Kluyveromyces lactis: one gene and its partner. The protein of the gene in region 1 purifies or fractionates together with the protein of each later gene. This does not show direct contact. Links are inferred from orthologs where the notes say so. Each region holds a gene or a part of one and is shown on either strand. Other genes may lie near its edges. The genes, in order: TOP1 and NSR1.

What was found.
Region 2: the proteins of TOP1 (region 1) and NSR1 purify together in Saccharomyces cerevisiae (affinity purification with western blotting; 3 studies listed by BioGRID). This does not show direct contact. The link is inferred for Kluyveromyces lactis from reciprocal best matches to the Saccharomyces cerevisiae genes TOP1 and NSR1.

Annotation. Positions count from the first base shown.
Region 1 is NC_006039.1:535,753-540,299, reverse strand, and holds TOP1 (DNA topoisomerase 1), read left to right. Parts: upstream 1-1,418; coding exon 1,419-3,776; downstream 3,777-4,547. Other genes in the region: MIX17 (Mix17p), read left to right, coding at 4,381-4,547.
Region 2 is NC_006039.1:990,251-993,785, reverse strand, and holds NSR1 (Nsr1p), read left to right. Parts: upstream 1-1,616; coding exon 1,617-2,954; downstream 2,955-3,535. Other genes in the region: KLLA0_C11517g (gag-pol fusion protein), read left to right, coding at 1-712. UniProt on the Saccharomyces cerevisiae protein: Involved in pre-rRNA processing. Specifically binds nuclear localization sequences. Candidate for a receptor at the nucleus that may be involved in both RNA and protein transport. Binds telomeric sequences of the type (TG[1-3])n in vitro.

The DNA of each region.
Region 1 (4,547 bases):
ATAAATAGTCTACACTTATCAACCTCCAGTAACTAATTTCTTTCTTGCGTGTATTTCCTTGGCCCGTCCAATAAATACCTTGCAATTAACGGTTTTGTGGCTCTCGATCAAAAAAAATGAATCTACGACGTCAAAGCACTGGCACCGTTGAAAAACTGAAGCGATTTAGGTTAACAACAGCAGAATGAGTACAACAACCAAGATTCTGACTGTTAAATGATGTTTCCGCTCACTGTAAGTCTTCCTTTCACCTGCAAGTTTGTAAACTAATATCAGTGATGTAAGTATTCCTAAGAATAATCGAACTTTCAACTGAATTATGGCAGTCGCAGTAAAAAAATGCTTCTAATATCAAAAGAACCCTTGTTATAAGCACTTGATACGTCTCAGGTAAGATGGTAACAATTAAAGGACTGAGTTCCCGCCCTCTCTTATGCCAAGTATGCTCTTAGGAAGTATGTAAAGAAAGACTGTATAATATTAGAATCTGACTTTTTTCCCTTCCAATATAATAGTATATTATACCAAACCCAGTACTTTTAAGCTGATATAAAAGCCAAACCAGTATACAAGGATACCCAAATAGTAATATCAATGACAATGAGCTACCGCAATTTACTGTAACTTCAAATTTATTCAAACCGACAAATTACTAGTTTTGTCAACTTTGAAAACACAAAACCGACTATTTACATTATTGAATTTTTTTCGACATTAACCAAATCTGTACAACGGAAATGAACAAAATGTAAACAATAACAAAACACTCAATGCGGTAAGTGCCAAAAACCCTTATTTCTTTAAAAGGACATTTTCCTAAGTAAGTATCTAATGAAAAAGCAAATAATTACCTTACCCGAATATTAGATCACGTGAGACTTTTTTTTTTTTGGGGGCAATTTTGAAAATTTACGGTTGTTCTATTTTCATTTTCACTTCTGCCCTTTACAGGTTAATATCTGTTGAATGTCTTGGATTCTTGAAAAATCAAATCTTCAAGCATTCGGTAGAAAAAGCTGATCTATTTTTTAGTAAGAGAAGAGGCACTGTCCTGATCAGCGCCTAAAGAAAACTAATAAAAAAGAAACATCCTAAACGGTCGAGAGAGTTCTATATTACTGGTGTCGGTAATATATCTACTTTAGAATTTCCTTTGTTTTATATTTACGATAAGAAATTTAAGGTTAAGACGGACCACAACCAAAGTAATTTGATATAGCCCATTTTAGAGCGCTACAGACTTGAATAGGCAGGTAAAAAGAACCCTATATAGTACTTCTATCGAATTAGTGTCGATTGAATTATTTCACACCATCTGAAGGAGTATTTGGCAAATTCCTTTTGTTTTGCTCGGGATCTTTTTATTTTGATTTGATTGAATACTACTATAGGAGGTCAAGAAAACGCTCATTTCCCATATGAGCATAACTCTGAAAGATGATTCTTCATCAGATGATGAGGATGTAGTATTAAAGAGGGTCTCTAAGGGTGATAAACAGACTAAAAAGAAGTTGAAGCGTGTGAAAAAAGAATTGTCAGATGGAGATGATAGCGATGAGGATGAGGAAATCGTCCATGCCGCAAAGAAGAAGCAAAAGAAGCTCAAGAAAGAGAAGGAAGATGCTGTATTAAGGAACACCAATGGCAATGGTGACAGCAACGGCAAGGTAACTGGTAGGTTAAAAGTTAAGAAAGAACGTAAAGAGAAGAAAGAAAAAACGAAAAAGATCAAGAAGGAAGAAGTGAGTAATGAGGATGATGAGGATAAGAATCTGGCGGATATTGCATCAGAGACTCCATTTCAGTCATCTGCAAGGGCTTCCTCCATAGAGTTAAAGGAGTCATCGGAAGATTTCAAATGGTGGGAAAATGGCGACAAAGAGGATGACACTATCAAATGGACTACCTTGAAACATAATGGTGTCATTTTTCCTTCCACATACGAACCCTTACCAGCACATGTCAAGTTATACTACAATGGGAAACCAGTAGATTTACCACCACAAGCAGAAGAAGTGGCTGGATTTTTTGCAGCTATATTGGAATCGGACCATGTCAAGATTCCAACGTTTCAGAAGAACTTTTTGCACGATTTCTTGCAAGTGCTAAAAGAGAATGGAGGAGCACGCAATGGAGTGCAAATAAAGGAGTTTGGGAAGTTAGATTTCACTAAAATTTTTGAGTATTTCCAAGTGCAAAAGGAACAGAAGAAACAACTAAGTCCACAGGAAAAGAAGCAGCTTAGGTTGGAAAAAGAAGAACTGGAGAAACCATATAAATTTTGTGAAATCGATGGCAGGGTGGAACAAGTAGGTAATTTCCGTATTGAACCACCTGGTCTTTTCAGAGGCCGTGGTGCTCATCCAAAAAATGGTAAATTAAAGAGGCGTGTTTATCCGGAGGATGTTGTACTCAATCTCGACAAAGAGGCACCAATTCCAGAACCTCCAAAGGGTCACAAATGGGGTGAAATCAGGCATGATAACACGGTACAATGGTTATCAATGTGGCGAGAGAATATTTCTAACTCTTTTAAATACGTACGGTTTGCTGCTAACTCTACGTTGAAAGGAATGAGTGACTTCAAGAAATTCGAGAAGGCAAGAATGTTGAAGGATCACATAGATAAAGTGCGCACAGATTACAAAAGCAAAATGAAGAGCCCTAAGACCCTGGATAGACAAATGGCTGTAGCCACGTATTTGATTGATGTGTTTGCATTAAGAGCCGGTGGTGAAAAAGCTGATGATGAAGCTGACACAGTGGGTTGTTGTTCTCTACGGTATGAACATGTTACCCTAAGACCACCAAACACAGTTGTTTTCGATTTCTTGGGTAAGGATTCTATTAGGTATTACCAGGAAGTTGAAGTCGATGCACAAGTTTTCAAGAACCTTAAGATATTCAAGAGGCCTCCAAGCGGACCAGGCCATCAATTATTTGACAGACTAGATCCATCGATATTGAACAAACACTTGCAGAATTATATGCCAGGATTGACTGCAAAAGTTTTCCGTACGTACAACGCATCTAAAACGATGCAGGATCAACTAGATTTGATTCCAAATGAGGGTACTGTCGCTGAAAAGATCTTGAGGTACAACGCAGCAAACAGAACCGTTGCCATCTTGTGTAATCATCAACGTACTGTCACCAAAGGGCATGCCAGCTCTGTGCAGAAGGCCACTGAACGTATAGAAGAGCTAGAATGGCAAAAAGTACGTTATAAGAGGGCTATCTTACAGTTAGACAAGAGCGAACGCAAGAAAAACCAAAATTATTTCAAGGAGATCGATGATTTAACGAAAGAGGAAGAACTCACAATTCATAAACGCATCATTGAAAGGGAACGTGAAAAGTACAAAAGAAAGTTCGAACGTGAAAATGAAAAACGCAAGTTCAGCAAAGAGGATCCGATTCCAGACTCTCAATTGCTCGAGTGGCTAGCTAAAGTGGATGACCTTGAAAAACTTTATGAAAGAGAATCAACTACGGGAAAAATTGAACTAAGAGAATCTTTACAAAACTTGGAAAAACTTAAGCAAAACGTGGAAAAGCTGGAGAAAAGAATCACAAATTGTTCCCTTCAGTTAAAGGACAAAGAGGATAATTCCACTGTAGCATTAGGAACTTCAAAGATAAATTATATCGATCCAAGACTATCTGTCGCGTTTTGCAAGAAATTCGATGTCCCAATCGAGAAAGTGTTTACCAAGACTTTGAGAGATAAATTCAGATGGGCTATCGAGTCTGCTGACGAAAACTGGACATTTTGAGACGGGGTTTCATCAACTTACAAACTCACAACCTTGTAGTATATATACCATAACGTAGCATATATATATATATATATATATATATATCTGTTCTTATTATTAATTCACGTGCCGTTTTTCAAAATTTCAACCCGCAAATTGCATAAATACATGAATAATATATCGTAAGGATATTCCAGAACGAAAGAGAACTACAAAGCTCCGTCCACACCGTCTATCTAAGCCATCTCCTTTCAATGAAAAAGATGACTAGCTATTCACCTCCTTGTCCTTCCTAAATACATGACTTTCTTTGTTTATTCTATACCGTTCCCTTCTGATAACGCCGTAAATTCGGGAATACTCCATACACGTCCTTTGGCGGGCCCGGCACGCCCCATAAAAAAAATAAGAACGACATCTCCGTAACCGTATATAGTGATGTATTCCGACTATATAAGGAACGCCATCCTTCACATTATTCCTTCCAACGCTGATTTGGTTTCGAACGGTGATTAACGGTTGAAAGAATAGAAGATAAACCAAGATCGATTCGTCAGTATCCGACAGGACCGAAATATTGACTCTAGAGGAGAAACAAAACACAATAAGCAAATCATAAAAAATGGCTCGTTCAAGAGGTTCTGCTAGACCGGTTTCAAGACCGCAAACTCGTTCTGCATCTACTGTAGCTGCTCCAGCTCCAGCTCAGCACCAAGCTCCTAATGCGTACTCGCATCCACCACACACAGCTCAACCACAACAACCGGGTATGTTCGCTCAGATGGCTTC
Region 2 (3,535 bases), about 450 kb from region 1:
CGAATCTGAAACAATCCCATCTACCGCTAGCATTTCTACTGAAATTACTGAATCTGAAACTACTACTCTTCCAACCCCCATTCCAACGACCTTGAGCACAATTATTACTTCTGATATCTCTACGACTGAGACGGAAATATCAACTGAAACGACTATTGTATGCTCCAATCGTGAAGAATGTGCAGATACTGTAACAAGTGACACTCCAGTCCTTGAAAGCACAACTTCTGAGTTAATCCAAACAATTACAACATCAGAAATAAAAACTGATTCATTTAAAACTACTGAACCAACTATTGAATCAAGTATTGAAACAAATGTTGAGGCAAGTACTGAATCAGGTACCACCGAAACAACAGAGATCTATTCCACACCACTTTCAGAAACTACCATCACATCAGAGAACTGTTATGGAACACGCTGTACGACTGTTACAAGTACAGTCACTGTTCCAGTCACTGATCTAACAACTTCAACTTCACCATCAAACTCTTCACCATCATCAGCACCAAATGAAACTACGGAACCTATGGAACCTTCATTGGAATCTTTTACCTCTCAAGCACCAAAAACAGACACAGAACAAAGTTCTTCTACGGTAAGCTTTGGAGCAGTTTCTTCGATTTCAATATTTCAAGGTGTTGCTTCTTCCATAAACGCAAGATCTTCAACAATATTTGGAGTATTTCTGGGATTAATCTCTCTACTCTGAGTTTATTGCGAAGAATAAATACAATTGAGAAATTATTATCGGGCATCAATCTCATCGTATTTAAAGCTCTAACCCAACACTAACCATTTCAAGTTCATTCTTACCTTCAATTTTGACACAAACATTAATTTAAACACTGATATATCTGCATCTCTATTTCTCCTGTTTTACTTAAAGGAAGCAAATCCTTTGACCCTAAATATTTTTTCCCATGTTCTTTCAACACAAGGTGGGTGCACTATCGATTATAAAAGTCTCTCGGTTTTTTTCTATAAGTATATTGGGCAATGAACTAAGAAATTATTGAGGACAATTATAAAGTGTATTTTGTGACGTATACCTTTATGTACTTTTTAATAGATTACAAACTAACATCAATACTCTCTCGTAATTTAAAACCATTTTCACTATAATTTAATAACTATATGTCATGAATATCTGCTTTGTAGGTTTTCTTCATCTATTCATCACTGATTATTCACAGTTGACATTTCATCAACTGCCATCGGATCAGAGGAATACAACCTTGGAGAGAACGCAGTCGCGCGCCAGAAATTAAAAGAACCCATACCTCGCACCAAATTATCACGAATTTTCATGGTAATTTCTTTTCAATAAAAAATGTGATGAAAAGTTTTTTCAGTGAAAAAAACCCAAACAAAAACGGAAAAGAAACGATTTAAGTGAAAAATTATTGTCTCTGTACTCTTCAGCTCATCGCATTGGAAAAAGAAGTTTGTTATAAGAGAAGATAAGTTATACCTGCTCAGTAACACTTCTTCATTAACTAACATTTATTGATATAACGCTATTTTGAAACGCAATTCTTGTAGCATCGAGTCTTGTTGATTATCTATTAACAGAGTACAGAATAATATCATCGCTCAAACATACAATTCACATAATGGGTAAATCAACTGACAAGAAGGTTTCCAAGAAGGTTTCCAAGAAGGACCTAAAGCTAAAAAAGAAGCAAGATGAAAAGAAGGTGAAGGCTGTTGAACCAGAATCTAGCTCCGATTCCAGCTCTGATTCTAGCTCTGATTCTAGCTCTGATTCTAGCTCTGATTCCTCTTCTGATTCCGATTCTTCTTCCTCTTCTGACTCTTCTGACTCTTCTGACGAAGAAGAAGAACCAAAGAAGGAAACTAAGAAGGAAGAATCTTCCTCTGATTCCGAATCCTCTTCTGATTCTGATTCCGAATCTGAAAAGGAAGAAGCTAAGAAAGAAGAATCCTCCGATTCTGACTCTTCTTCCGACTCCTCCTCAGACTCCGACTCTGATTCTGACGAAGAAGAAGAAAAGAAGGAGGAAAAGAAGAAGGAAGAATCTTCCGCTTCTTCATCTGATTCTGATTCTTCATCTGATTCTGACTCTTCATCTGATGACGATGAAGAAGAGGAAAAAAGCTCTAACAAGCGTAAGGCTGATGATGACGAAGAGAAATCTGAAAGCAAAAAGCCAAAGACTGAATTGGCTGGTGAACCAGCTACTATTTTCGTTGGTAGACTATCATGGTCCATTGACGATGAATGGTTAAAGACCGAATTTGAACCAATCGGTGGTGTCATTAGTGCCAGAGTTATGTACGAAAGAGGTACTGACAGATCCCGTGGTTATGGTTATGTCGATTTTGAAGACAAATCCTACGCTGAAAAAGCTATCAAGGAAATGCACGGTAAGGAAATTGACGGAAGACCAATCAACTGTGATATGTCTACCTCGAAGCCAGCTGGTGCTCCAAGAGACGACAGAGCAAAGAAGTTCGGCGACGTTCCATCTGAACCATCTGACACTTTGTTCTTGGGTAATTTGTCTTTCGAAGCTGACAGAGACAACTTGTACGAGATCTTTGGTAAATATGGTGAAATTGTTTCTGTTCGTATCCCAACTCACCCAGAAACTGAACAACCAAAGGGTTTCGGTTACGTTCAATACGGTAGTATTGAAGATGCCACTAAAGCCTTTGAAGGTCTACAAGGTGAATACATTAATAACAGACCAGTCAGATTAGACTACTCCATTCCAAAGCAAAACTTCGGCAACAACCAACGTGGTGGTTTTAACAGAGGTGGTTCTGACAGAGGTGGAAGAGGCGGTAGAGGCGGCAGCAGAGGCGGTAGAGGTGGCTTCGGTGGTAACAGAGGAGGTAGAGAATTCAGTTCCGGTTCTAACGCTTCTCCTCTAGGAGCTACCAGACAAACTGCTTCCTTCCAAGGTACCAAAAAGACCTTCGATTGAATTTTTGAATACTTAATACACAAGAGTTAAACAAAGTTCATTCCTCAAAGTCGAAAACACTTTTCATTATCATCCTAACATGCTCTTGGGAATAAAGAAGATCATTTCTCATCCATTGAAACAATAGAGTGTCAAAAAATAAAAATAAAAAAAAATTAAATCACAAGAATAACCATTCGTCATCTTATTTGTATCTATAGATCAACAACTGATTCATTGTAAACTTCACTGAATCGCATTCATCTTCTATTTTCTTATTTTATTTTCTTTAAATCATTTGTATATGTGTGTATAGTAGCTTTTAATATTTTTTGAACTAGAAGTCTGCGAAGAAGGTCTATGGAAAAGAGTCTCGAATCTGTGCATTTTGTAAAATTAAGCTTCATCTTTGAATCTTGTTTTAAAGGTGTAGAAAAAAGAGAAGACAAGTTTCAAGACAATTGACTGCATTACAGAATCCCTTAATACACTCGTATGACAGTCGTAACCCACCTCAAAAGATATGGACAATTTGAGAGCCACACATACACGCACACACAAACTGAAAAGAAGAATTTTAGCTACGAATATTGTGGAGGTGT